Linked DNA regions of Coturnix japonica. The main gene of each other region encodes a partner of the protein of the gene in region 5 in a complex. Links are inferred from orthologs where the notes say so. Each region holds a gene or a part of one and is shown on either strand. Other genes may lie near its edges.

The links.
Region 1: INTS2 (region 5) and INTS9 share a complex: the UniProt entries of both Homo sapiens proteins name them as parts of the integrator complex. The link is inferred for Coturnix japonica from reciprocal best matches to the Homo sapiens genes INTS2 and INTS9.
Region 2: the proteins of INTS2 (region 5) and INTS7 are in contact, whole or in part, in a cryo-EM structure (PDB 8RC4), measured with the Homo sapiens proteins. The link is inferred for Coturnix japonica from reciprocal best matches to the Homo sapiens genes INTS2 and INTS7. Residues at the interface, in NP_065799.2 of Homo sapiens: Gln27, Lys28, Val29, Cys48, Arg51, Met52, Cys55, Ala56, Ala58, Asp59, Gln60, Ser61, Trp64, Phe92, His93, Ala186, Glu187, Pro189, Ile194, Val218, Asp220, Ser221, Asn223, Glu224, Ser259, Leu262, Lys263, Arg265, His285, Gly294; in NP_056249.1 of Homo sapiens: Leu38, Gly39, Glu40, Cys42, Glu43, Val46, Arg47, Asn77, Phe78, Leu81, Cys82, Leu84, Lys85, Gln88, Gln89, Asn114, Asp115, Pro116, Val117, Ala120, Ile121, Arg124, Val153, Glu156, Val159, Phe160, Ala163, Leu195, Lys196, Pro199.
Region 3: INTS2 (region 5) and INTS12 share a complex: the UniProt entries of both Homo sapiens proteins name them as parts of the integrator complex. The link is inferred for Coturnix japonica from reciprocal best matches to the Homo sapiens genes INTS2 and INTS12.
Region 4: the proteins of INTS2 (region 5) and INTS6 are in contact, whole or in part, in a cryo-EM structure (PDB 8RBZ), measured with the Homo sapiens proteins. The link is inferred for Coturnix japonica from reciprocal best matches to the Homo sapiens genes INTS2 and INTS6. Residues at the interface, in NP_065799.2 of Homo sapiens: Ile855, Asp856, Pro857, Leu858, His895, Arg923, Glu925, Leu926, Lys927, Ala929, Leu930, Ala932, Ala933, Gln934, Ser936, Ala937, Gln940, Ile941, Glu944, Asn1010, Lys1013, Leu1014, Phe1017, Gln1018, Gly1019, Tyr1020, Pro1021, Ile1046, Ala1047, Gln1048; in NP_036273.1 of Homo sapiens: Ile484, Val486, Arg487, Ser488, Arg489, Phe527, Gln528, Val529, Ala530, Leu531, Leu532, Asn533, Phe541, Arg542, Asn543, Ala544, Tyr545, Ile547, Arg549, Leu552, Leu553, Leu556, Met559, Arg560, Asn562, Leu563, Leu564, Lys565.

What each region holds. Positions count from the first base shown.
Region 1 is NC_029518.1:96,767,009-96,772,850, forward strand, and holds part of INTS9 (integrator complex subunit 9), read right to left. Parts: intron 3,780-5,842; coding exon 3,655-3,779; intron 2,371-3,654; coding exon 2,203-2,370; intron 1,444-2,202; coding exon of another isoform or gene 1,303-1,443; exon of another isoform or gene 790-1,302; intron 1-789. UniProt on the Homo sapiens protein: Component of the integrator complex, a multiprotein complex that terminates RNA polymerase II (Pol II) transcription in the promoter-proximal region of genes.
Region 2 is NC_029518.1:19,450,348-19,456,770, reverse strand, and holds the start of INTS7 (integrator complex subunit 7), read right to left. Parts: upstream 3,998-6,423; 5' UTR 3,950-3,997; coding exon 3,859-3,949; intron 3,766-3,858; coding exon 3,636-3,765; intron 2,560-3,635; coding exon 2,413-2,559; intron 1,226-2,412; coding exon 1,088-1,225; intron 724-1,087; coding exon 677-723; intron 519-676; coding exon 319-518; intron 1-318. Other genes in the region: DTL (denticleless protein homolog), read left to right, coding at 4,193-4,250, 4,393-4,518, 5,337-5,435, 5,763-5,824, 5,916-6,036. UniProt on the Homo sapiens protein: Component of the integrator complex, a multiprotein complex that terminates RNA polymerase II (Pol II) transcription in the promoter-proximal region of genes.
Region 3 is NC_029519.1:34,242,353-34,248,760, forward strand, and holds the start of INTS12 (integrator complex subunit 12), read left to right. Parts: upstream 1-2,728; 5' UTR 2,729-2,813; coding exon 2,814-2,940; intron 2,941-4,237; exon of another isoform or gene 4,238-4,354; intron 4,355-5,351; exon of another isoform or gene 5,352-5,456; intron 5,457-6,408. UniProt on the Homo sapiens protein: Component of the integrator complex, a multiprotein complex that terminates RNA polymerase II (Pol II) transcription in the promoter-proximal region of genes.
Region 4 is NC_029516.1:152,146,392-152,152,233, forward strand, and holds part of INTS6 (integrator complex subunit 6), read right to left. Parts: intron 4,345-5,842; coding exon 4,192-4,344; intron 4,052-4,191; coding exon 3,919-4,051; intron 3,439-3,918; coding exon 3,344-3,438; intron 2,940-3,343; coding exon 2,829-2,939; intron 1,228-2,828; coding exon 1,012-1,227; intron 904-1,011; coding exon 777-903; intron 1-776. UniProt on the Homo sapiens protein: Component of the integrator complex, a multiprotein complex that terminates RNA polymerase II (Pol II) transcription in the promoter-proximal region of genes.
Region 5 is NC_029534.1:6,232,052-6,236,744, reverse strand, and holds the end of INTS2 (integrator complex subunit 2), read right to left. Parts: intron 4,408-4,693; coding exon 4,300-4,407; intron 3,558-4,299; coding exon 3,452-3,557; intron 3,297-3,451; coding exon 3,120-3,296; intron 3,016-3,119; coding exon 2,846-3,015; 3' UTR 1,455-2,845; downstream 1-1,454. Other genes in the region: BRIP1 (Fanconi anemia group J protein), read right to left, coding at 34-126. UniProt on the Homo sapiens protein: Component of the integrator complex, a multiprotein complex that terminates RNA polymerase II (Pol II) transcription in the promoter-proximal region of genes.

The DNA.
Region 1 (5,842 bases), on a different chromosome or scaffold from region 5:
CAAGCTGGAAGCAAAAATCAGCCTCAAACAGGGCTGTCATGAACACCTGCTGAAAAAAAGATTGTTCAGGTACAGTCTGTGATCACCACAAATTCGGCATGACTGCTCCTCTAACAAGTTCCCTTGGAAAGAATGACCAAGATCTCTTTTTGAGGATGATCTGCATACCTCAGTGCTAGGGAATGGTATCCTATCAGCAGCCCTGAATCACTGTCTTGCACTCATCACAAACATTCTAACTCTCAAAGAACACCCCAAGAGAAGGAAGTACTTCCCTTCCCTTCCACTGTGCCCCAGTGTGGCAAGACAACAGCCTTCTGATCTATTTTTGTATCATCTTAACCTTTTCAGGAGAGCCATTATACACCAAGCAGCTTGTTGCACTGAGTTGAAAAGACCAGCTTTGGAACCCAGGGAGAATACCTGGATGTGGAAAATCACAAGAGATGTTTCCACTCCCTGAGTGGACAGATAGCTTTGAAACTAGGACTCCTGCATGAATGTATATTTGACAGAGGAGAAAAGAGGCAGTTTCTGTCAATATTCTTACATATGTATCTTTCTGCTTGAACACTCTGAGTTAAAGTGAATGCAGTAGAAACTGCTTTGCTTTTCTGCAGGCTTTCTGATAACCATTCCCAACTTGGTGAATACCACACTGTCTACCATGCACCCTCCCTCCGATATCCCAGCAGTTTTGGGAAATGCTATTATTTCCATGTGCCATTTTTACTACAGTCTGTAGAAAGAATCCTTTCACTTCAGAGAGATGGCATATAACAGCCAATGGAGATCTGGAGTTGAGAAATTGAAGGCATGTTCTTACTGGTGCCAAATCCACAAAGCCTGCTAAGCCTCAAGTGCAAGGGATCTTGCTGCAAACAGCCAGCCCAGCAAAAGAACCACTGACTCATTTTCTGATGCACTTTAGCCCCATGAGCATAGCAGTGCCTTTGGACTAATAAACTCTGCCCAGAAACTCTGCAGTACTCAGTGCCTTTGTGCTCACCCTTTCCACTTTCAGTTGCATTTTATATTTAGACTTGTGCAAATCATCAAGGAGGTCTCCAACAGAGCACAAAAGCCATGCACAAGCCTAGCTATGATTGAGACAACCCTCTCCTCTATTAAGAATATCACAATGCATGAGAGTTGGCAAATACTCATTTGTAGCATATGTGCAGATTTGCATTCTGTTTGCAAGAGAAGCTGGTATCCATCCTCTTCACAGGGCTGACAAGGGATAGGCTCACATACAAAGCCTCACTCACAACCTCAGAGTTTAAGGAAAAAACCATGGCTTCAGAGGAAGCAAACCAGCAGGTAGGCTGCATGCTGGCTCTCTGATGAAAAGCACGCTTGTATATTCAATATCCAGAGGGCAGTAACACCTTCTTGGTAAATGCCACTGTCAGCTTTGATCCAAGGACGCCTTTGTGCTGACTGCATTGTTAAAAAAATATATTTAATATCATATCTGCTAGAATATGGATCACTCTTTGTATTACGAGCACATTTGTATAAAATGTATGGGCTTAATAAATTATTAATGAATGGTGCAGCCATAAACAGTCCACATTATAGATGGCTACAAGCAACTCATTACCTGTCGGACTTCAGGAGTCCATAGGAATTAACCATTTATTGAAATTGTTCTAACACAAATGAGCCGTTTTACTGCAGTGTCTTTAACATTCCGCTGAATACTGCTCCTGAAGGGAAAGGGTATTTCTCATAGCAGGTACAGCTGGGGAAGGAGAGAGACAAGTCCTGGCTAATAACTTCCAATCTCTCTCAATCCCTTCCATAGCTCTGTACTACTATTTCAAACTGCAGTGCCTCTGCATATTCACATTTAAGGTGGCACTGACTGGTTTTCTTCACAGCTGGCCAGCAGAGATTACTCTTTCTTCTGCAGATTACTCTTTCTTCTGCAAGGACATGATGTGTCCTTGCAGAGGACAATTAACCTGAAGACACCTTTTACTTGCCCATCACATTCCTCTTTTCTCCAATTCTTGATTTACAGAATGAAATTCCCTTCAAAAATGCTTTCTTAACACTCTATTTGACAAAAACTGATGTGTGTTCATAATCAACAGCAAGTCACAGATGCAGGATATGTCTAGTCAAATTGGCTACTGCAATGCTGCTCGAAGTATGAGCAGAAGCCACATCTTTTCCCCACCTTTTGTTACTTACTTCTGGCATGATTTCGATCTTCTCGTAGCGTCGCTTATAGGGAAGAGTCAGGACCTCAGCTCTGCGGTAGGACATTGGTGGAGGCTGACAGTCTATCATCAAATCTGTCCGGTGAGACTGGGAGGGTGGTGGCTGAGTGTACTGCTCCGGGCAAACTACATGGAGAGGCTGGAAAAGAGGACTATGATGACTTACAGAAATGCCTGGTTGATTCTGCACACTGCCCTACATTGGTAATGGTTGCCATAAGGAGGTCTGTGGATTGACGTTAGCACGCTAACTTAACTGTATGAAAACAACATCAAAAAGATGAAATCCAGAAGATTCAATCAGGATTGAAACCGACTGTCCAAGGAACAAGCAGTATTTGCTTTGTATACAGACGATGCCCACAGTAACAAGGCCTAAATTTATATCTGTAATCACTACATCAATATCAGCAGTCATGTTAGCTGCCATAAGGAGAGAAATAAATCAAAATGCTCAATAGCATTCTCATCCAAACGCTTGTCATCTAAATTGGAAGCAAATACAGCAGTGGTGCAGACCATCACAAAATGGCACTGAGGCAAACGTGTCAAAACACAAGACTGCAAAAACATTAGCAAAATAGGCAACTCTGAGTTTTCACGACCTGTCAGCAATGCATTAACAAAGCATAAACAAGCTGATTACCACGGGGATCGCCACAGGATTTAAGGAAGCCACAGGATATGACAGAGTTTCTGCCAGATGCTTTGGAAACAGCATATTTCAGTAGTTACATGGAGGAAGAAAAACAGGCAATGTAATTTCCACCAGTTGTGCAGTGACAAGCCAGGTCACAGAATGAGCAGATAAGATGATCCAGACATTGTTAAGAGGTTTGGAAGAACATGCATTTCTGCATATGATGAGCTGAAGACAAATCCAAGGGAAAAGCTCAGCCAGAAAAAAATATGGGGTGTTAATTTAATGCTGCCACGAGTCAGAAACCAAATTTCAGTAGAAATAAATAGGATGGATAAGGAGAAGCCACAAAGAAAAAAAGAAAAGCCTGAAAGCTCAGCCTTTCTTCCTAGACAAAAAAGGAAAGACTGTGCAAATGGAACGAGGAAAGCTGTCAACTTGCAAGTAATATGTGAGTGGGACTCCAAAGCAGTGACGCCAGAATCAAGGCAAGGATCAAGTGCAGGATTCAGTTACAGGCGTGGGGGAGATGGTTAAAGCTGAGGGCACAGAGGATGATCTACACTTGGTACATCTTACATTAAGACTGTATCAGACACAGAGACACTAATTTAAACAAGCAGGGGAAAGAATAACAGGAAAGTGTCATTCTGTGTCTCTCTTACAGAGAAAGAATGTGTGTGTTATCTTATTTTGCCATTATTTAATATAAGTCACAATCAACTTATTTATTTCAGACAAATGTGTGAAGAAACACAAGAAAAGGCAACAAGAATTCATTACCTGGACTTCTTTGAGCAATTTAGACACCTGAATAAAATTCAGTCTTGTGTCAATGGGGCAGTAAACACATTTCATGGCCAAGGGCTGATAAGGAGCCAGAGCATCCAGATAGGAGAAATCTGGTTCTGAAAAGAGAAATGTTGAAAATACAGAATGCTACTGAGAATAAAGGTGGTCCAGCTCCTCTCTCATTCCACATTCCAGTCTAGACAAGCGATCTTATAGTAAAGTTAATTCTGCTATAGATTTCTTTTCCCTCCTTCCTTCCCCCACCTGGTATTTTCAGTTAATCTGATGAAAATTAACCCCTCAATTAGACTTACCTTAATCAAGCTACAGAGCAATACTATTTCATCTGAACACATTACTGCATGACTTTTATAACAAATTTAATCAAGGCAAAACCATTATCTCTTATTTTTAATCAGATCTTGTAAAAGAAGGCAAGATGTCCAGGTTTTGGTATCACAAATGTCAGCTTGTTTTTCACTGTGGCAGGGTGCACAGTGCACAGGAACCAGAGGGGCTGTGCACTTGGGGATCTTCCAAAGCCCCTGGTCATGGTGCTGGGCACCCTGCTCTGTGTAGCCTGGTTGGGGCAGGGTGGCAATGAGAGAAGGGCTGACCAAATTTGTCATGCAGACAGCAAAAAATAACGACCTTAACATTTTACTGATGGAAGTAGAGCTTCCATCATGGTATTCAACACTCCGTGCTGGAGCTCATTGGACTGGTAAAGCTAATTGCTAGCCTAAAAATCTGATACATCTAAGTATCAGTCATTGGTCATGATGTGGTTATCTTGTGAGAACAGAAAATAATATCAGCTAATGATACACACGTTAGGAACTGTCAAGGGGGCAATTTAACTGAGTCTAAAGCAAGTGTCAGTGTAGCTGCCTGGGAATATCTAAGTGAGAAATATTAACAAAAAATGATACTTGTATAAGAATATCTTGTTGGATGCTTCAAAAGTCATGAATTGCCAAACATGAAACAAAACTCACACTGGGCAAGAAGCCATGCTAGTTAAAAGCACATGTGCCAGTGCCATTGAATCAAAGCCCAGAAACAGTAATGCAAAAAGAGGCAATAAATAGCAATGAATAATTAGAATACTGAGCGAGTAGCTAGTTGAAGAATGATCAGTAGTCAAATAGGATCAAACCAGAGGACATTTTAAAACATGTTGGGGTAAAAAACTAAGAAAACTTAAGTAAACCACTCTGCTAGAGCTGCACAACGAAACTGCACAACAGTAAATTAAAAAGCTATTAGAAGAGAACTTTTCCATCCCATCTGGCCGTGTGGATGACACAGATCTGACTGTTTGTTTCTGAAAATGTCAGGAGGATGCAACTACTCAAACTACGTATTTTTGAATCAATAGGTTCATATAATTTACACACACATATATACATGTGCATACATATATATACATATACATTACATATACACACACACACATATATATGTAATCTACACATGTATTTCTTGCTCTAAGTATCCAAAATGGCACCAAATCTACAGCAACTAATGAGGACATAAGTAGGCACAGAAAAGTGAAAAATTCCAATACCCAAATCCTAAGGTTGAAATTGTAAGTCTAAGACAGGGCTTCCAACATTTAAAACACGTGAAAATATAACTGAAGCTAGTCTTAACATGAACTTGTGATATAATGCAATTGCTGCTTTGAAGATTCAAAAAAAACCCAGAATTCAACGGCACGATGAAAGACAGTACTCGTCAAGGACTCATTTTCTGAGAGTTACAGGTCTTTAGCTTTTTCCCTAAGACATCTGATTTACAACTGTGTGACACAGTTATAAAATCTTCCACTGTACAGCACGAATGTGGCATGCGTGAGCTGTTTTAAGATCTCCTAGGGAGTTAGTTTTTAACACACTGATGTTATTAGAGTGAGGGCAAGAAGTGGACTATTTCTACTGTGCTTTCTTCTAGAGCTTCTTTGTGGCTCAGTGGAATTCAATATGTTCAATCAATAATCTATTCAATGCTGCTTCAGTGGTAACATATGCAGATGACACAAGCAAGCAGAGCAGCTCCATACCTCACTCACAGCTGCTGTTCTGTCTTGGCTGCAACTGCTGTGCTAGTCTGTATTCTCTTATAGTTGTTTTTCACATTACAAATTGGAAAGATGGAGACTACCTAGCTCCTCTGG
Region 2 (6,423 bases), on a different chromosome or scaffold from region 5:
GCAGTAAGTCAAATAGACACCAGCCTGCCACAAATGTATGGATTAAAAGGTCAATAGATTTTTATGACTTTACTATAATTAGTTGAACCTCAAATGTCACTGTGCATTCATACTTGCTATATGAATCATAATCACAAAGCCCATTATCTAAACATAAAAGCATTATATTTTGCTCATCAATGCTTTCTCACGACTTGGTTTAAAAACATAAGCTGTAGCAATAGACTCAGTCTTTCAAGATAAAGATCACAGTTTATCCTCAATAATCCCTGTTTTGTTTTAAACATGCTTTGTAGATTCATTTGAAAGAAGAATTACCTGTTTAGGAATGTCAACCAAAGAAGAAGCAGCAAGCAGAGTGAACGTGTGCAGAGTAACAATGACCATCTTGGTGGAAGGATATGATGTTACCAACTGCTGAAGCAGCTGCCGGGAGCTGGAGGCCAGGCTAGCATCATGATGCATGTGCTGTAGAATAGGGATCAACTTCAATTTCAAGTCCACAGGTGTGGCTAAACCTGTAACAGGGAACAGAGACACTGTCAGGCTATTGTACTGGCTTTTTCTGGTACTAAGACACACATTATTTGGGGTAAGGGCAATGGTATAGAGGTATTTTATATACTTATGTATAAAAAAGAAGCCCTGGATATCATCACTCAGTATTTGTACATACCTTGAATCATCTCACTGATTTTGTTACATATTCCTGCAGCAAAGTCCCTGTAGAGAAAAAGACAAAGCACCAAGTGAAATGAAAGCAAACAGGCTAAAAAAAAAAAATCAACAGAAGAACCAAACAATGAATTTTAATAATAAAAACCACCACAAGAATGCTTGCCAAAACTTAGTTATTTTAGAATCCCTACACAGGTGCATAATCAAATAATAAAATGGAAGCTTTCAAATAAGTTTCATAGGTTTTTTTAGACTCGAATTCAGACTTCCTTACACTTATTATCATGACATATAACAGCTGTGAAGGATGTTCTACCACCACTGAAGAAAATACTAAGTTCAGTAAGCAACAGTGGAGCTGTTATTCTTTGCAATGTGAAAAACGGGGGAGAAAAAAATTCCACCTTACTTTGACTGTGCAGAAAAGTTGGCAGCAGCAAAAATAGCAGCTTCAACTTCCACATTATCATGGGAATCCAAACTCTGGCGAATACTGTGATGTGCATTCTTCCTTTCTGGAATGATAGACGCCATGCTGCCCAACATCCTACAGACACAGATCAGGAAAAGGAGCAAGCACAATGACTGACTATGAAGTAATGCAAGATGAAATCAAAGGGAAGCACAGAAGGACTGGCTTAAAGTCTTGGCTTTTATATAAATGAGGGCTCTTTTACATTCACTACAGAAACAAAGACACACTGACAGCAGGCATATTGCTAAAACATGATTATGCTGGTATCAGCCTTCTGTTAGTCATTTAATGAAAACAAACAACAAAAAAGTAACCATATTGGAGTATCATTAGTGGAAAACAATTGTTATAAAGTGAGGAGCACACCATGGCATGGGGTACACCATTTTTAAAGACACTTTTGTGCCCAAGCTCTGATATCAGCGCAACAGATTTAATGCTAAAATGCATTACTGCACGCATACACAAATATATATCAATATATATCATGCGATTTAAAAGTCAGTCATTTTGGTAGTTTAGGAGAATTAAAATAGCATTTACAAAGTTGTTTCTACCTTTTCTATTCTTCCCATTAAATCTTCAAATTGAATCAATACATGTCTGAGAAGTCAAAATTAACTACATACTAAGAAAGGGAAAATTCTAGAGAGTGACTATAATGAAGCAAACAAACATCAGTCTCTCATCATTTGTTTTTTTGAGATCCTAAAGCATAAAACCATAATCTCAAAAATATAAAAAGAAATGGGTGTGTGAGATAATAAACCAAACCTCTGTTAATGACTCTCATCTTTCAACAGTGAGAACAGAAACAGTTCTGAATAGATAGGAGAAATGAATAAGCAAGGGAGAAGGAGTGCTCTGTTCACATTTTAATTCAGTCACACAGGAGTTGAAGGAAGATGAAGAAAAGATTATAATGCTGGGTACTGTTAGAGATACAGAGACCAAAGCAGCAGGACAGCAACATTAAAGATATCTTGAAGTGTGGTTTTTTCTACCCACTGGATTCCCATCTCACCTGGAGCCATCTGCACAACTCTCACATCACAAATACAAGCATGCAAAAACCTTGTTCTTCCACTTACACATCTCCTGCTCACTCCCTATGAGATGTCCCCGCTTTTGCCTTTATGATGAATGTGGAAGACAGCTCCTACACTCTGAGAAGTAGCTGATTTTGTTAGAACAGATTAGCACACCAATAAAAGAGCTACAGCTTTGAAGTAAGTTAGGTTCACTTCTGTGCTACTTACCGAAGCGTGATAGCCCGAGCAACAGGATCATTGCTATGAATCACTGAGAAAACTCTCTTCACAAACTCATCCACGTTGAGGATCTTCTCCAGGTGCTTCTCGCTCTGCTGCGTAACTTTCAGCACACACAGCCTCAGGAAGTTGTTCCTATCAGAAGACACACGTTTATCTTTACTGAGCTGTTTGATAATACAGATTCAAAAACTTCTAAACTAAATGCATTACGAAAAACATATTTAATCACAACAAAGAAGCTCTGTGCTTTAGAAATGGCTCAAGCAGGCTACCAGTTAAGGATAGAATATGAACGCACTGCTATATGTAGCACAAGTGACAAATTTCTTACTGCCTCACAGCACAAATAACATACAATGAATGTGGGTCCAACAAATCACAGAATCACAGAATGACCCGGGTTGGAAGGGACCTCAAGGATCATGTAGTTCCAACCCCCTGCCTGGCAGGGCCACCAAACATACACCTTTACTAGATCAGGTTGCCCAGGGCCCCATCCAACCTGGCCTTGAACACCTCCAAGGACGGGGCATCCACAACCTCCCTGGGCAGCCTGTTCCAGGACCTAACCACTCTCCTAGTGAAGAACTTCTCCCTAACATCCAACCTAAATCTTCCATCTTTTAACTTAAAACCATTTCCCCTAGTCCTGCTATTGTCAGCCCTTTCGAAGAGCTTACTCCCCTCCTGGGAGTAAGTTCCCTTCAGGTATTGAAAGGCTGCAACCTTCTCTTCTCCAGGCTGAACAAACCCAACTCCCTCAGCCTGTCCTCATAGGGGAGGTGCTCCAGCCCCCTGATCATCTTCGTGGCTCTCCTCTGGACCCTTTCCAAAATCTCCATGTCTTTTTTGTACTGAGGGCTCCACACCTGGACACAGTACAACAGATGGGGCCTCACAAGAGCCGAGTAGAGAGGGACAATCACCTCCCTATCCCTGCTGACCACCCCTCTCCTGATGGAGCCCAGGATCCCATTTGCTTTCCGGGCTGCCAGAGCGCACTGCTGGCTCACTGTCTGTGTGCTACTGAGAGCAGCTGCACAGCAGACCCGGCTCGGTTCGGCACAGGGCACACGGAAAAGCTCAACTTGAGGCATTCACTTTCCTCACAGATGGGACTTGCAGAATTGGGCCATTCATTTATTTGTTACGATTCCGAAGGCACCTACACAGAACTGCCTCTAGCGGAACTAAAGCACGGTACTCACCCGACCCTGAACACGTCGGCCAGCTTCAGGAAGGCGGAGTTGATGAGGATGGGGAATGGATACTTCTGGAAGAGCCGCGGGAAGCGCACCACGGCCTCGCACTGCTCGCCGAGCTTACCGGACCGCAGGCCTGCACAGAGCACCACAACGCTCACTGCTACAGCGGCACCAACCGGGCCTCTCTCGACACCCCATCCCCGCGCTCCCCCATCCCGCTCCTCACCCTTGTCCAGCTCCATGAGGGCGGAGTTGGCGTCCAGCTCCTGCTCTCCGTACCCCGCGTCCGCCAGGAACGACTTCCCCGCCGCCGCCATCGCGAACCCCGCTGCCGCCCAGCGCGCATGCGCGGCCACCCTCCCGCCACACCGACCCTGCGGCGCACGCGCACTCCTCTACGCGCGCCAACAGCCGTTCCCGCCCCGCCTCTCCTCCGCTGACCAATCCGAGCGGAGAGAGGGCGGCGCGGCGCGCCACGGGTTGTCCAATGAGGGAGTGGAGGTGCGTTTGGCGGGTCGGTCGGTGGCGGGAGTTTGGTGGCGTTCCGCGCGCTCTCGGCCATGCTGTGCCGCGCGCTGCTCCGCCGTGCCGCCGGGCACCGTGAGTACCGCGAGTACCGTGAGTACCGAGCTTACGGGCACCGGGGGCTGCCGTACAGGGAGCCCGCACGGCAGTTGGGAGCGGGGTGTGCGGCCCACGGGCCCTTCGCTTCCCAGATCGCGGTGGCCGGTGCAGTCACGGTCCGCTTGTCTCGTTTCAGGTCAGTCCTCACCGCTTCCACTGCAGCATCTCTTGGATGGCTATAGGTGCAGTAGGGAAGATGATCACCTCTCCTACGGAGAAATCGGAATGCCGGTCCCTCCCTTCGGATGCAGCTTTTCTTCAGGTACGGCCGCATCCTGGGATGCCGCGGTGTGTGGGTCCCGCTGTAAACTCGTTTCTGTTGAATGTTTCAAGATCTTTTGGCAAGCTTCAGTGTTAGCGTGTGCTGATAACAGGGAACGTGCACCTCCACGTCCTACATGTTGGGTCTTCACAGAATCACAGAATGACCCGGGTTGGAAGGGACCTCAAGGATCATGTAGTTCCAACCCCCCTGCCTGGCAGGGCCACCAAACATACACCTTTACTAGATCAGGTTGCCCGGGGCCCCTGGGCAGGTCTTGGAGACCTTTAGGGCAGAGCGCTGTTGTGTGGTACTCTGGTTGTGCCATGGGGTTATTACAGAATCGCTGACCTGTCCCAAATTGCAAAAGACCCATAAGAATCATCGAGTCTAAGTCCTGGCTCCGTGCAGGACCATCCAGCAATCAGACCCTAAAGGCCTTTCTCCAAGGCTGCTCCTCCATCTCACTTCCAAGGAAAGCACTTGGGAAACATCCAAGTGGACGGACAGGTCATAAAGATAGAGGAAAGGAACTTCCATCAGTGCTGGTGAAAGAGGGCATTGTCTTAGAAGCTGCTCCTTGACCCGCTCTATTTCCTATATACTACAGTTTAAGAACGGAATGTCTAGAAATAAATGCTTGGCAATATTTGTGCATTTTGAGAATGGAGATCACTGTGTAAATGTTACTTTATTTTTTCTAGCTGTCCATTAGGTGTGCACCCCACTTAAAGTGCCTGTACTCCCCTCACAAAGGGAAGAGGCACAATTGTGGATCAGCCTTGTAATAGATGATTACGTTTCAATTTTCTTTTCAGCCCCAAATTTTGAGCACATATTGGCAGTTGCAAATGAAGAAGGGTTTGTCAGACTGTATGATACTGAAGCTCAGAATACCACCAAAGTGATCTTTAAGGGTAAGTGTTCAGTGATCTTCATTTGAAGTATGGGATGCGCTGGAATCAAGGAAAGCTTTATGCAGGCTGTTTAAACTCAATCTGGGAAGTACTTGCATCTTTTTATATACTTTGCAGAGTCCTGTTTACAAAGCAGCCGTGTGAGTGTGCTCTTACAAAAGCAATGGGAGTTGAATGGTTGAGTGTTTGCCTTGCCTGAGGGAAGCTACAAAGGAGCAACCTGTTTTCGGATTCTGATGTCTGATGTTTGTTAGCCTCCTGCAAAATACTGTCATGCTGTACTGGACATATGCACTGAACTAATTTTGGCTTTTGTTCTCTTGTCAGAATGGCAGGCTCACTCAAATGCTGTCTTTGATCTTGCCTGGGTACCAGGAGAGCACAGGATTGTAAGAAGCCTTTTCCTATCTAAGTTTATTCTTAATGTTTTGGCAATGGCGTGCAGAATATGATGAAAGCTTTTTATTCTATCCTCTGAAGGTCACTGCTTCAGGAGATCAGACAGCCAAGGTGTGGGATGTGAGAGCTGGGGAGCTGCTTGGCATATGCAAAGGTCACCAGTGTAGCCTCAAGTCAGTTGCTTTTTCGAGGTTTGAGAAAGGTAAATGTTGGCATTTCTTCTTGTCTTTTTTTCCCCCTTCTTCTCTCCAATTACCACTTCTATTCTTACGGGGCTAAAAAAGGGCTTTGGAATCTGTTGGTTGCACAAAGTACAGGTGGGCTGAGCAGTGACCTAAGTAGTGTTGGAACCTTGCAGTGATCTGATACTGTCTGCGTGTCTCTGATCTCAGGCAGTTTTAAGACATGGCATTGAAGTCACTCAGTCCTCACTTACAAACATAAATCTGGAAATACTCTTTGTAAGCACTTTTTCCTACAGTAGCACTAAGGAAAGACCATAAAGAATCTAGACAGAAAACACCAAAGGCCTGATTGTTGTAGTTCTAGGGGCACATAGATGGCATTGTGCTGGATTCAGTTCCTCAGC
Region 3 (6,408 bases), on a different chromosome or scaffold from region 5:
ATACTTTCCTAAAGGCTGTTTTGCTGGGATAAACATACAAATCAAGATGGATACAATATCAGAACTACAAATGTGGAAAAAACAGTTTAGTAAAAGTAATTGAGGGAAAAATGAGAGAGGAGTTAGTTTTCTCTGTTCCATCCATATATATAATTTCTTAATCTCAAATCCTTTCCTACAGAACTTCTAGGAAGATGCAAAAATAGAGGTACAACTCATCAGCCTACTGATTAAAGATGTTCTGCTTTGAAAACTGGTAGATGAATGGGTTAACACTGTCGGTGTGAATCTTACTCCAACCCACTGAACAAAATGACTTCTTTCCAGTAGCGATGAGTAATAGATAGCAACTGTCAGTCTGTCCCAGAGACAGCAACTGATTGGAAATAATGACTTGTTGGTTATTGGTCTGCTCCGTACTCAACCCTATAAATGCCACAGCTGACACCATCCTATTAATCCATCCGCCTCCTTGGAGTTCAAAATTTAGCTTGAGATTTGGCCAGACAAATTCAACCGTTCTTATTCTCAGCTACAAAACTCTAACATCCAGAAGCCACACAAAGCACACACACCAACACTGGTGAACCTTGCTGAAGCAGGATAAATGTATCCTGTCCAGACCCTCATACTCCTTTCTCTTGACAGCCTTGTGACATTGGCAGAGAAGGAGAATATGCACGGAGCCCTCTTACCTTAACCCATAATGTTATTTACTTCTGCTGAGGCTGTCTCCTTTACAGTCACTAAGGAACTTGCATCTAAATTCCAGAGAAGTCCAAATAAAGATGTTAAATTGTACATCCTTATGGTGTTATTTTTTTAAGCTTTGCCCATGGATGTTATGAGGGTTAAGATTTACTTGTCACTTTGCTCAGATTTGCTCTTCCCTCTCCTTCTAACACTCACATCTAAATCTCCACTGCATTTTACCCACTTGAAAACAGCGGCTTTTGAATATTACAGTGCTGAAGCACTGAGAATTGTACTTTTCTAAGGAGGGGGGTATTCCCTCTCAAAACAAGATAGGAATGTATAATGATTAAACTCTCTTTGCACTAATGCAAACTCTCCTAAGACTGCACCTGGAAGAGGTTTGAAGTTGATCAGTACAGTGAGAAATAAGGAAGCAACAGCAGTAAGAGCTTCCTTGGGCAACTTTCTATTCTGTGTCAGCACGAGGTTTCCTGAAAGAGATGGAAACAGCGTGTAAAGTGATCCTCACTGATGTAATGAGTACTTTGTACTTACTGTATCATCATCACAGTCAAATCCTACCTATTCACCAGCTTAAGTGTACAGAAGAGCCGCAGACATTTCATTCATACTATTAAACACAGAGAATCACTCAACTTATCCTGTCATATTACTGTGTTTCTTTTTCTAACTTAGAAGATGAGCTGCCTCCAGAAAGAAATGCCAGGATTTTTTTTGCCCCTGTTTAGTCCTGAGCATATACCATGGGGATTTTATCACTTATTCTATTCCCAGACTCACAGCTGGACTCGCAAACATTTTATCAGCCTGATTTGTTTTTCCTTCCACTTTGCCAGATCAGTCCTAGGTATAAATGACAATAGCCACCCTCTTCTTCCATCTATCCATTCCTTAAAGCCCCATTTAACTTGCTGCTTTTTCTCCAGCTACACAATATACTTTTTTTTTTTTTCCACATAAGATATTTCAGATGGCCAAAAAGTAGCAATTAAGTTAACTTTGTTCACAGCTATGTAATTTCAAAAGCCAAATGGCAACCTGAATAAGTCAAGTCTAGACTTGGTTTCACCACAACCGCAGAGCTCGCAACACATGGAGTAAACACATAAGAAATACTAATCTCTTACTAGACATCACAAACCTCTTTGTCACAAAAAGATCATTCACTGACTACTCCAAACACTTATCTAGGAAATTGTCTTCTCCATTCTCAGACAGACAGTGAACAAATGACACACCACCTGCTTCTGAAATCCAGTCAGTGCAGCAAGATTTGGCTCAACTGTATTAATATTAGCCTCCCACAGGACATAAAGCAAAATAAAGCTATCTGGGACCAGTCTATAGATGACTTGTGTTTCCTTAAATTATTTCTTGTGAGAATATACTCATGGCCTTCTCTCACTTCAGAGAGCTGTACTCTCACACTGCCACATCACACTCCTCTTCCATATTTTGCTTTAAAAATTTCCTCCTGACAGCTTGTTTCCTTCCACAGAGATATTCAAGACCTGTCTGGACACCAATCTGTGCAGTTTATTGTAGGGAACCTACTTAGCAGAGGGTTGGACTTGATGGTCTCTTGAGGTCTCCTCCAAACGCTGCTGTTCTGTGATAATAAAGAATGGAACTAACAAAAACATTGTGCACCCATTTAATCACAACACCTTTCCTGGCACTCGTCCTTCTCTGCTTAGCCTGCATTCTGTGAGGGTTTCTATCCTACACTGGCCTTATTAATAGTAACCACTGCTAAAAGAAGGGAAGGGAGAAATCAGCTGAACATAAATAATGAACACCACAGGTTTTGCAACATCACTTAAAGATAAATAACACGGTTTGCCTTCGGTGTGAGCCCGTGTGAGGAAGCAGCACCGAGGGGCGAACCCCCAAGGCCGCCGATCCCGCGCTCTCCCTCACACACCTCCCGCCCCGCCCACCGCCGCGCGGGCCGATAAACAGCGCCCGGTCTCCACCAGCGCTGATCGATCGAGATCCATTTCTCCCTCCCTCGGTCGCTCCTCACCACTTACCCGACCCCGCGCACGATACGTCCCGGCCGCTTCCTCCCCGGCTCCGCCTCTTACCGTGTGCCCATGCGCGTCCCGCCCGGCTCCGCCCCAGCCGCGCAGCGCTCCGCCCTCCCGCCCGCGGAGCGAGCCGGAACGGGGGCTGTGTACCGGCTGAGGGCTCTGAGCGGCGGGTATTACCGTCTCTCCTCAGGTGAGAGCGTGGCGGGAGCTTCGGGGGGTGTCGCGGTGTCGTCCCCGGCCCTGAGGGTGGGCGTTGTGGGCGCCTGTGTGTCCTCCCACGGCGGAGCTGGAAGCGGCCGTACCCGCTGTCTGAGTGGGGCCGGCGGGTGGCCCCGGTGTGAGTTAATATGTGGTACAACGGGAACAGGGCTCAGTTAAACAGGCAGCTGTGGTGTGAGGAGGAGGTGGGCTGGGGGTGAGGTGAGGGGGAGGAAAGATAAAAGGATAATAGTTACAACTATAAGTACGTATATAAGACTGTGTGTGTATATATATATGTATGTAAAAAAACAAGCAATGCACAAACAAATTGCTCACCACGTACCAATCGATGCTGTGCTAGTTTCCAAGCAGCAGCAGCAAGCCTGAAGAACTCCCACCTTTTTCAAACTTGCCTGCTGTGGAATATCCATTTGGGTCATTTGAGGTCGGCTGTTCTGGTTCTGTCCCCTTCCAGCTCCCTCTAAAGCTAAAACATAGCATCATATCAGGTACTGTGAAGGAAAATAACTGTTTCCACTGATTCTAAGACAATTAGTTTCCCTCAGAGCTCATCAGTGAGCCCTCTGTTTCTGCAACAAGGAGAAGATGCAGAAGAGGGCTGAAGCATGGGTTGATTGCCTGGTAATCCATTGACCTGGATGGACTGTGTTCTGGTGTACCATTGTGAAGCCCCTTGCTTTTGTCTATGAGAAGTCATGAGGCTGGGAGAAATCACTGGGGGCTAGAAAAAGGCAGACTACATGTCTTACATATCCCTCCTCAAAAGAGGCAGGAAGGACTATCCAGGGAAGTGCAGACTGGTTAGCCTCCCTCCTTGCATCCATGGGAAGGTTATGAAGGGAGCCAGCACAGCATGGGCAGGAGCACGTGTTGACTGGGGATAACCAGCTTGGGAATCTACCAAGGGTCAGTCATGTCTGGTCAACTGGATTATCCTTTATGGCAAAATAACTAGCTCTGAAGTTGAGGGGAGGAGTGGAGAATATCATCTGAGGAGGGTCTTGCTGTGTCCTAAATAGACGCCTTTCTGTATCTAACAGGAGATTATTGATAAAATGAAGCCTGTATTTCCTTTTATGTGAAAGCACAATCTGAAAAGGGAGGATCCAATTTGGAATAAAGAAGTGAAAGGAGACAGTGAGATCCCTGTCTGTGTATGTTTTGAAGGTCCATCTGGATGGTGTCCTCGGAAATCTTGTCTGAATTCATAGCTGATTTTTTTCTTTTTGCTTTGAGCAGGAGGTCTCTTAGAAACAAAATGCCAGTGTATTGTGGTGTAATGCAGCAGGCAGCTCAGCACCACGTAGCCACTTGTTTGCTCTCTGCATGTTGGATGGGGGAGAAAATAAGAAACTTAGAAGTATGAGAACTTCTCTTTTATGGTTAGTATGGTTTACTCGGTAAAGCAAAATCTGCATGTGCAAACAACAAGAAATTCCTTTGCTACTTCCCATTGGCAGGCAGATCACAGAATCACAGAATGGCCTGGGTTGGAAGGGACCTCAAGGATCATGTAGTTCCAACCCCCCTGCCTGGCAGGGCCACCAAACATACACATTTACTAGATCAGGTTGTCCAGGGCCATCCAACCTGGCCTTGAACACCTGCAGGGACAGGGGCATCCACAGCCTTCCTGGGCAGCAGATGTTCAGTCACTTCCAGGAAAGCAGAGGTCATCACACATAACAGTTTCTTGGGAAGGCAAACTCCATCTCTCAGAATGTCATCTGCTCTTCCTCTTCTTGTCTCCCAGTTTTCATTGCTGAGCAGGATACCATATGGTACGAGCCATCCCTCTGGCTGGTCTGGGCCAGCAGTCCTGGTTCTGTCCCCTCACAGCTCCCTGTACTCCTCCAGCCCCCTCCAGGCAGGGCAGCATCAGGAGCTGAGATGTCCTCAGCTCTGCACAGCACTGCTCATCAACAGCTAAAGCATCACTTGTCAGTACTATTTCCATTTTGAAAATAATCAAAAACACAGGACGTGGTGAGTCACCGTGAAGAAAATTAACTATATCCCAGCCAAAACCATGGTATTCTGGTTGTTGGATACTATGTTGTTTATGAGTGATAGAAAGCAGAAAATAGAAGGTGATAGGGTAATGTAGAAATGTTAGATAAGCAAGTTACTGTGATAGATTGAATTATTGATTGGAAATTATGGTATAAAATATGTTGTAGGATAGAATATAAAGTTATGGATAGTCACGTTAGTAATTATAATGGAAGAATTTACTCAGGTCTCCTGGAATTCTTTGAATTTCACATCAAGTTGTCACATAAATAAGAACTGATGAATACAGTTGTTCTGATTAATACAGTTGTCGGGACTGCTAAAGTGCCTGAGTTTTGAAATATTCCTCACAGGCGATAACTGTGAAATTGTTGTCATGAATCAAATCCTCAGTATGATACGAAAGTAAAAACTGAAAATAGAAGCTTTTCCTGCTTTCCTTGATCTGTTTCATCAAGACCTGCATTAAATGTGAGTCATCTGGAATGGGCAGTATTGGTAAATACTTGAAATCTTCCACTGTCACAGTTGTTAGGGAATGGAGGTTCTAAAGGACAAAAATAAGTCCCTCTCTTCATGTATTTATTTTCTTTCTGTTAATGGTTGCTGTAGTCTGTGACATTATTACAATTTACCTGTGAGAACAGAAAGAACTGCCGCAATTTCACATGCAAGCGAAAGAACAAACATACAGAAAGCTGCTAAATGTGTCTGAATCTAACAATTACTTTATCGTAGTTGCCTTTAAAAAGCTAGAGCTCATAATAAACTGGGGAAGTGTTATCTTCCTGAAGAGAGAAATGGATTGAGCAGGCTTACACTTGTTTTCTAAACTCTATAACCACGCTGAATTGTTTGCTAAAGACTGCTGAAGCTACCTATTCTTTTCATGCACTTGCATGTATTCCCAGAAGATTCCTCAGAAAAGAACTTAAAGGATTTCTGTTTGTTGTTCCTTTGTCTTTAAGAGGGAATTAAGAATTATTCCAAGTTCCTGTGACTAGTGTCTTGGCCCTACTGTTTTTTATATGATGGAGGGTGTAGCATTCTGCATTTAAGGTTACATTGCACTCAAGCTTGGAAGCCAAATTCACAGAACAAAGCAATGTTAACTTAACCAAAGAGCTCAAGGACAGCCAGAATTTTTAATGCAGATAAATGCATTTATTAAAAAAAAAAAAAAAAAAAAAAAGTGGATTTTCCACACACATTGAATTCACTTTCTGTAAATGTTAGAGGGAATTGTCTGGATGGGGCTCACTCTGAGGTAGTCTATGTGATCAGCAGTAAAACAGTTACTGATGTATAGTACTTTGTAGAACGAGTTCTGCGGCCACTGGATAAATCATTTGATTTAACAGGTGGATTAAGGAATAGGGAATGAGCTCTTGAAGAGGTTTCTTAACTCTCTGCTGGCTCCATT
Region 4 (5,842 bases), on a different chromosome or scaffold from region 5:
ACTGGCACATTCTTGAAGCAACAGTAAATTTTTTTGCCACTGGAATCAGAATTTTCAAATCTACAGGACCTGAAAACTTAAACTTGCTAAACGTTTTCTCAAGCAGAATATAAGCTACCAAAAACAGCAGGGAAAACAATTGTAAGTTTTGATGTGTTTTAACCCCTTTGTCAAACAGCAACTTCTTTGTATTTCAAATGATTTTCTGTCACTACTTAAGTCAGATTAATATCTGTGACCAAATGACAATGCAAAATACACTTTTACTTGCATTATCCATTTTCTCCACTTTTTTCATCACCTCTGTTTGTTAGATGCCCTAACATAGTGTCAGAAAACACAACTTAAAGTGAAAATGAAACAATCATACAACTGCTGTTGACCTACAGGGCAAAAAAATCACACTGACAGCACCTAGTGAGTAAGCTCATCTTTCCACTATTCACAAAACACTTCTTACATGGAAAAAGGTCTTAATGTTCAAAAATCCCCTCAAATTTTCTTAGATACATCATGAAAGCTGGTGAAAAAAATAAGCGAACAAAATCTGTAAGTAAAAGTCCAAATCTCCTCAGACTAAAGGACAGAGTGGTGAATCTATATCCTTTCTGTCCCCAATTGCTTTTCTTCCAATTAGCTAAGGAACAAAGTCAAGTTTAATGGCAGATGGCTGCTAAGCTTTTATGAATAAATATTTGTTGAGTCTTCAAAATTTAATAAAAGTGATATCATGTAAAGGCAAAAAAAAATAAAAAATAAAAAAAAGCTCAACCAACCTTCATCTTGTCCTTTGAGGAACTTCCGAGTACTCTTCAGTAAATTAGATCTCATTCGTGTTAATTGATCCAAAAGATTTCTTCTAGGTATATCATAAGCATTTCTAAAAGTTTGAGGTTTCAAGTCCTATGGTTTCAGTAATTAAAGTTTCAATTAACACAACGTATGAAACAATATCTAGCATTTCAATGGTAGTATATTGAAAATAACAACATTACACACAGTGGTGCTTACCTTATTCAGCAAAGCTATTTGGAACCCAGCATACTCCTTCATATTGAAGTCTAGAGGTCTATGAGGAATTTCCCCAGTAATCCCCTGTAGCAGATGTTGAAAATCGTTCCTATGTGCCATAGACAGGTTGTGTGATCTGCTTCTGACCTTAATTCCAGTCTCTTGCGCTACCTTTTTGCCTACAGAGCCAATGACTCTATCGGACTCTATTTTGGCCTTAATTTAAAATAAATAAATAAATAAAATTGACAATATGCTCTTAAAAGAATTAGTCACTTATTCATTTTAAATTCCTACCTAGAAGATTCAACAATGTGCTAATACACTATGACGACCATAACCAGGATGAGTGCTTAAGGAGTGCTTAGTACATAACCACTTAATGTCTACTACAATTTCAAATATAGTGAACATTTTGTGCCTATGTTTTCTGCATATTTCTCCCTCTGCTGCCCATTACTAAGCACCAAGATGCATGCAATGCTTTTATTTTCATAAGTCATAATTTAACTGGCAATTCTCTATCTGTCCTCAAACTGTTTTCTGCTGCAAGAGCTAAATGCAAGCTTTCAAGACTGATTCTCCCACAACTATAGTTGTGATCAGTCATACAATGGCATCAGCTTCCTAAAAGCTCAACAGACAGTCACAACATTAAACAAAAATAGGAAACACATGAAAATACCTAATCCTATTTGATCAGACAGACCTCACCCCCAGCATTGTTAGATTTGTACCAAAATCAAACATGTTCATAAATGCCAACTTTTGGGCAGAATGCAGTTGAACAAAGAGCTAGAAGTAATTTGCCAAGACAATTTGCCAATGTTTGCTTTGCAGTTTTATACCCTAAATTTACAGACTAATCAGAATCTGAATTTGTACTTAAGAACACTGTGTCTGTGCTGCTAAAATCTTTCAGAAGTGAGAAAAGCTTTATGTACCAATTTGCAGTCTGTCATTGCATCTTAGGCATCTACAAAGCCTACATTGAGAGATTAGTTCATTTAGTAGAACACTGAGCAACGTGACCATGATTTGCTAAGATATACTCTAGAATTCAAATTTGCTCCCCTGTCAAATAATTGGCTTATATCTTTTTTTTTTTTTAAATAAAAGTTGTTCTATAAGAACTTGATAGCTATGTAAGAAGTACTTGCACTACTATTAAAGTTTCAAGCCTACTGTGTGCTCTCATGATCTTGAGCAGGAAAGCTTAACATGCACAGCTCAACAAAATAAAAGTGAAAGCAGCAGGGCAGAAATGCCTTAACTGGTGCAGGGGACTAGACAAGATACATGCACTATTCTGAACAGCATGACCAACTTCATCACTTTACAGAAGGTCACTTGCAACTTTAGTCTGTATGCTTAATTCAGAATCTCTAATACGTCAGTTCAGTTTTTATTTACTGAACACTTTCCACTTCAAAAGTCACTTTCTGATTCAGATACATCTAAGTACAAATCCCTGTTTTCTGAAAAAAAAATAAAAAATGCTGCAACAGCTTTGACTTAAGATAACATGTTTTCTTTTGGACAAAAATATGCTACTATAACTGTACATGTAAAAATGTTCCTTAAATATAAGAGATCTTAATAGGTACCTCCATATCTATCTATACAGTCCACTCTAAAGTTTATGCTTAAATGTTTTCTTTCACTTCACAGAACCAAAATACTTCCTTATTAATTGCTTATAGAAAGGCATTAACTTGATCTTCCTGCTCTTTTTCCTTGAAAACCCTTGAACTTGAGTATTTTAAGATATTATCCTGATATTACAAGTTTTTACTGCTCTTGTGCTTCAACATTACCTGCTGACTCAACTTTTTGAGATATGAAATGACACTGTAACTAAGTCCATATTCCACATTGTCAGCTATAAGGTTTGGTGCTCCCATCATTCTCACAGCTTTCTTCAAAGGCTGAAACATGGAATATATTGCACAGTCACATTTAACTTTACAAGGGTTATATATATACTTTAAGTAACTGTAACCATTTCAAAGAGGACCTGAAGTCTTTAAGGACAAATGTCAGATTTTTCAGGGCAGATTTTTTTTGTTGTTATTTATAAGTGTTATTCCACTCACACTGAATCAGTCACAAACAGAAATTAGTTACAATTGTTGAATTTTGTTGCTATATTCAAATTTCAAGCCTTCTCACAGGACTACAGTGGAAAGAGTATTACTATATATAAAAGTTCAGTTATTTTCTTAAAAATACATATTCTACTTGAAATAGAATAGAAAAAAGAAGCACCCACACTGGAAAGGTGACTATAGCTGCTTAATAAAATAGAAAATTGAAAATCAAGTCATCTTACCCCAAGATAGTAAGGAGGCATTGTCTTCAAATAGCTTTCAAATGACTGTAGCCATTTTAACGTTGGCTTTGCCTTGTGTACTTTGAACAAGTCATCTGATGGTTATGAAAAACAGAGACACAATAAAAGACATGCCTACGATTTTTTTCCTAATAGAACAAATGCTAAGAAAATACTAAATCCTTAATGCTTAAATATATTATTTTAACATATATACAACTAAACTAAATATACACAAAAGATTAAAGTTGCAGCCAAAAGATGGAACCTGACCAGTTATCAATTTGATAAATGAGATGACAAATTGAGAATAATGGCTACCGAAATAAAAGAAGTGAGATTACTGCATATCCAAAAGAATAATGATTACAAAAATTATTCTTGCACTTTGGGCACAAGTCATGAAAATCATGCAATTGTTTACAAGAGAAATAAACATTGCCATTGATATAATTGCTAAACATTCTATCTTTCTATGGCTGTGACTAATACTGTCACCAGCTGGATAAAACTCTTCAGATCAAATCAATTTTTCAGTTGCTTATTACTTGAAGATTTCATGGACTGGTATTTACCTAGCAGTGGAAGAAGAACTGGATAATTATAAGGCATCACAAATAAATTCACACAATTCAGGGCTGTACTAGCTTTCAAGTAACCAAAAGGATGACCAAGTTCACTGTATTTTGCACTATTGCTCACATACACCTGCAATGAAACACATTAAAAGTTAAGCATATTTTTACATATTTTGTGAATTTAAAGTTTTACATCCTAATTTGATTCTAGAATAAATTACATGACAAATAGCTTTAGAGAGACTTCAATTAAGTACGTATTCTACTTGCCTGCCAGCAGGTCTGAGGAGATTTTCTTTCCAGGATAAACTGGGTCAGTGGTGAAGGCTCTAACTCATATTTGTCAAAAGGCAGTTTGTCAATGACCATCGGCTCACAGTCAGTGCAGGAGAATTTCACCACAGGATGAGAAGTGCGGGGTGGCTAAACATAAGCATTCCACTGTTAATAAGTCTGCATACAGTAACTTCTTTGTACTATGATAAATAAAATAATAGATTCTTTGAAAACAAACATTTAAGGAGTCTACTGAATACAGAATTCATACTTTCCTAAGCACATAATTTGACACTGACACTATTGTGAAATCGGATGGAAATTGATTTTCTAAATACTGCTCATTTTACCTACTAAGTCTACAACAGTAAAATTTCTTACGTATACACAAAAACACTACCAATGGAAGTAAAGCCCTGTGTGGACTTTAGTGCTACTTTGGGGCATGCCCACTTTGACCTGGCAGAACTAAACTTTGTACTTTCATATTTGTTGACTTGCTCTCTTTAACAGCATGTCTCCTTCTGGGCAAATTTTATATTTAAAAATCTCAAACAGAATTACAGTGACTCATATAAGAAAAGTCTACAGCAACTCACATTTCAACTGCAATTGTGAAAACTTTCAGTTTGGGCAATTTAACTGTAATCTTTTTATTAATTACATGGAAAACACCTTTCAATCTCAAGTTTCAGATATGAGTTGATAATGTTTGACATTTCTTTTGCTGAATAAGGAGGTGGCAAACGTGAAAAAAGTTGGAACCATATGCCTTACTTTGAAGGACCTTCAGGAGAGGAACTAAAGCTTTTATACTTACCTATAACCTCCTCCAAGGCTACTAGAATCTGAGGAAGATCACACCTGGGAAGTCTCCTTCCATTTAGTCCCTTTACAAGAAGTCAACTAATAAATACGTAAGATGAGCTATGGAAATACATGGTTTCTTGGACCTTCCTACCACCTCACCTTGAAAGTAATTTTTCCTACAAGTTTATAAACTTTAGTCTCTTCCTTTTAGGATGAGCCAGCCAAATGTTATCTGTCCACAGAGCTGGTCTTGCCTTGAGTATCTCCACTCTGAGGAAGGTGTACTGTCCAAGTGCACACAAAACAGGAGGCCCACTCAATTGAAGGAACTGCAATTCTCTTGAAAGAAGATGCCTCCAATAAATAGTTGTGGCGGAGTTTCTGACCAAGCCATGAAGCAGTTATACTAAGAATAAAAAGGCTGCAAAAGAAGTTGAATGCTAAGACTTGAGTAGTCCAATAAGTTCTGACTGGACAGCAAAACTATTTTTTACCTCAGAGCAGTGAGAGCAGCCATTAACACGTTGATGTATCAACAGAATCATAAGCAGAATTTCACATACATTTAAGAATGCCTTGATTGTACCATCTACATTACATGAAACAGTTTTGAGGTAGGGCTACATCAGATAAATCCACAGTGGATCAGGGGCAAAAAAAAAGATGTAACTACAAATCCTCAAGTAAACAGGATGTTAAGTTCTGGCACTACGTAGACATAAAAGTCAGGAAATACAAATTTTGAAACACTATAAGCATATGTAGCTCCCTCTCATTGCATAGGGAAGGTTCAATTGGGAATTCCAATTGATGCCTACAGGAATTTAGCTGCAGG
Region 5 (4,693 bases):
TGCTCAGCAGACGGTCATACAAATTGTACTTACAGCATTCATCATAGCAAGCTGCGACGGATAAGCCTTGCAAGGGAACATAATCTTCACTCCCCCAATTGTATATTGAGACACATCAGAAGACATTGCTGCTTTTCCCTGTTTATTTCTGGCTTATAACTGCAGTAAAAGACAGAATCAAGACAATGTTACTAATAAGGAAAGCTTAAAACAAATGACAGCAAACAAAACCAAGCAGGAAAAGGGGTGAAAGCTCTGGACACGAGCAAAACTGACATACAGGAACTTAGACTTTGTGTCTTCTGTTCTGGCTTACTTGTTACAATGAACCGCCATCTGATAAGTAATAGGAGCAGTACAAATAAAAGACACGGGCACAAAAAGGAAGAAAAGCACTGTGAATTAAATGCACACATCATTTTAGAGTCCGTTTCTCAAACTGAGGATTTCTGAGATAACAACCCAAGTCTCATGGGAAGGAAGGCAGAGGTATTTTAGGAGATTGAAGCCCATTAGCTTGAACTTCAACATGTTAACTACAGTGACAGTGTTAAGCCTGCAGTGCTTGTTTCATAGCTATAAGAAAGCAGTGGTAGCACTAACTGGGCTCTGATGTTAAAAAGATGTTTTAAACCAATACCATCTTTACATTAATGGTTACCCAGGGGTAAATGGGCTGCCACTGATTTTGCTGTTCTGCTCGTGTTACCTTGAATTTCCCTTACTCAGAATGATAAAGGAAAGCCTGCTTCATAGAATCTTAGAATCACAGAATGACCCGGGTTGGAAGGGACCTCAAGGATCATGTAGTTCCAACCCCCTGCCTGGCAGGGCCACCAAACATACACCTTTACTACATCAGGTTGCCCATGGCCCCGTCCAACCTGGCCTTGAACACCTCCAAGGACGGGGCATCCACAACCTCCCTGGGCAGCCTGTTCCAGGGCCTAACCACTCTCCTAGTGAAGAACTTCCTCCTAACATCCAATCTAAATCTTCCCTTTTTCAACTTAGATCCATTTCCCCTTGTCCTGCTGAGGCTTTGAATTAAAAGATACTGGGAAAAAAGCCCTAACCCTTCAGGGCCCCGCACACAGCGACGAGCGGCTCCGCGCTGCCGCTCACCTGAGGCGACTGCTCCGTCAGCGTCCGACCTTCCCGCCTCCCGCGCGGCCTCGGCACCGCCCGCCAATCAGCTGACAGGAAAGGACGGGGAGCCACCAATCAGCAAGCCGTATACTAAACAAGCCCCCGTTTCACCCTTAGAGCCAATCGTGGAGGATCTTGCTGGCTTCCGCGTTGTACTCGTCGCTACGCAACGCGGCTCCCCACACAGCGCCCCGACTAACCCCAAATTCACCTCAGTAATCGGCGCAGCTCCGAACTGCTCCCCATCACCCGCTTTTTCTTTCTAAAATTCTTTATTTAAATACCGCATAGAAAACCCAACATCATAAGGAAAAAAATATATATTTACATACATTACATGATAAGAAAAAATACACTCAGTATGGGTGTGTTACCACACGGTTACACACACAAAACGAGCCTGGAATGGCGGTGGGAGCTCAGCATTAACCTCCCATTAACACATATATACATATATAATACAGCATAACCCTCCATTAACACCCAGCAGAGATCAAAGGCAGCGATGGAGGAGCTGCCACAGTAACAATCAGAGCGTTATTGCTGCAATATGAGCTGATTTTAGCTTAAAAAGCAGTATTTTACTTAATGAGAGATGCTGGATGTTGTCAATAATTCCTTAAAGATAGGCTGCCAAGCTTAGCAAGTCAAGAACATCCAGTTCTGGTCAATAATATCTCTCTCTTTGCTGCTTCACACCAAAGCTTGTGCAACCTTGAAGTAAATTGCCCCATAAAGCTCCTCTGCAATGCTACAATACATCCATCAAGGCCAAAAGATCCCACAGCCGTCAATGAAAGCTCATAGACACACATAGATCTTCCTTCCCCTTCTCTGAGCTGTGACTGCTGTGGGCTGGCTGAAATCTGTCAGCCATCTCACTGCTGTGACTTCTGTCACAGTCACCTCCAACGCTCATTTAATCTCATCCCTACGATGACTTCAGTTATCTGAACATTTAATCGTAACAACATTCTCATCTCTTTTAAACTGAGATTTAAAGATACTGAATAATCTGTGCTGCAGTTCAGTTTGGACTACTACACTAGGAGGTTTTTGCTTGGGTTTTCATGTAGTTTGTCTGTTTAAGAAACATCAAGGCTGGTTTCAAACCTTCCATGTAGGCCGGCTGATCTTTCAGTTAATCCATTTTGAAGCTACTGATCCCAAATTGTCAGCCAAGTTCAACCCAGTCCTGTGACTAATTCACACTCTGACCAATGATTCAAAAGGCAAATAAAATGGTTAAAGTTTCTTCTTAGTAATCAACATGATGGTGCAATTTACATCACTTTTCAAGTGTTCCTTGGAAGGTTTTATTCCATCTTGCTCTACAAGGCTCTGAAACAGTAGTTCATTCCAGTTCTAGTAAAGCTCTCCGATATCAAACTTTTCTTACCCATCATTTTGCTCAACAAAAGAAGTCCTCACCTCACAGTGTTACAAAACCCATTGTGGGTGTGTTGCTGTATCAAATCAGAAACAAAGCACACCCGAAAAATCATGCCTACTCTCACTAGAAATGATTTACCAAGCAGAATAAGTCCCTCTGAAGTATCCAACAAGGTTCAGCCATAACTGAATTCGATGAATGGAAAACACAGACTTGTGCTTCAATCCACTTTGGCTGCGCTCTCCAAATCCAGTTACCATAGGCCATGGGACTACCTACAGTACCATTTCATTTGCATTCTTCCTAAACTCCACTTACACTCATGTTAATTATTTCAATTATAGTACTCTCAACACACTGGCATAACTGAACATCGGGGTCCACGCTTGTAATGTCCCTTGAACAACTTTTGTAAGGCGAATCTTTACAAAGTCCCGACACTTCATTTGGTCTCTCCTTTAGTTGCTGGAGACCTAAAAAGAATTAAGTTAGAAAAACAAAGTACATGTAAATAAATAGTTATATTACATCTATAACACCATGAAATTACTTGTGAAATACAAGCTGTCTTACTTACGTGTAATTATTGGGTCAAAGTCTCTTGTCTGCGTAGCAACATCAGAGGCACAAACTTGCCCTATTTGTATCAGCAGAGACATAATATCCTCATACAAAGGAGGGAAGGCTTGACAGAATGACACCAAACAAGGCAGGGTTGGCATGAAAAAGGCATAGCGCTTCGACTGGGTTAAAACTATGGAGGAAAAGGAAATAGTTAAGTAAAAAGGAACTATTACCAAAATCTAGTCAAGAATTGTTTTGCCACCTTTACAGTTATAATTAACTTGTTTGTATTTTGGTACAACCGTAATTGACAAATCTAACTTCAGGTGTTGCAGAACAGCTCACCTGTGAGTAGGGTCCCCATCACATTGATGGCCAAACGAGCCACGCTGAGAGATTTCGGTAGAGCATATTGAATGCACAAGAACGAGAGTAACTGGATGGCAAATATCTGTTAAGTAGGTGAAAGGCAAACAAGAAATAAACAGCGAGTTATACATTGCTTTGCAATTATGATCCTAAGCTCTTCACATAACTTAGGAGTTAGTAAATATTCTCTATTTCACAATAAGAGAAGCCTTAAGAATAGTTATTGCAAAATTTTTCTGCTGACATTAAAAAAAGCACAACACAGATGTTTAACATTAGCCAGGCATCAGTTTGGCTTTCAGAATCTCCCTCATAGACACAATTTGTTCCAACATCTCAACAAGCAACAAAGGAACAAACAATTTACAATGTAATCCTTGTAAAAGCTGTTAAATATCCCATGTGTTCTAGCTTAAACTTCAGCTGAACGCCATCTCATGAGCAGTATTTAAAAGGGATTAAATAAAAGCAAACAAGAAATTTGTTTAACACAGAAAACAGTGGAATCTTTAGCTCCCAAATATCCAGCTACCTACGACTAGACAAATATCTAATCTACCCATGTCACACTACACCAAATAAACATCTATCATTGCTTTAGGAACAACTAATCAACAATTTTTTGCTGTTTTTTTTTCACAACCATCATAAGACCACCCAGATTTGGTGGCAGGGCCTTTAATTTAAGGTAAATATGCTACAGATACTATGTTAATATACTGGGCAGGTTAGAGCAAGTGATCTTTTTCTTCTCTCCCCCTAACCAATACTACATTGTGGTTAACTACGTACAGTGATTCCCTGACTAGCTGACTGCACAGTACCTGTTTTTCAAGTTCAGGCTGGGCAATGAGCTCAGGTATGAAATCCAGACAGATGTGCATCGATGGAATCCCTGCCACTGTCAGTGCCAGCAGTTCACATGGATAACCCTGGCGGAGTAAGGAAAGAAAGCAGCCATAACAAAGATGTTTTCAAAATTGCTTCAATGCTTTTTTCTAAACAAATACACCATTTCAACTTTCTTTTGTTCACAAAGACTAGCAACGAGTCTGCACCTCTAAGGCAACTCGAAAGGGAATGAATCTATTCTTTATCCACAGAAATCTAACATTTATTAATTGCATATAAGCTGCCCCTTGGCTCCCCAAACTCAACCAGGCTGCAGTGACCCTCCCCTTTTGTGTCTTTGCCCTGTGTTCCAGACACCACTATAGG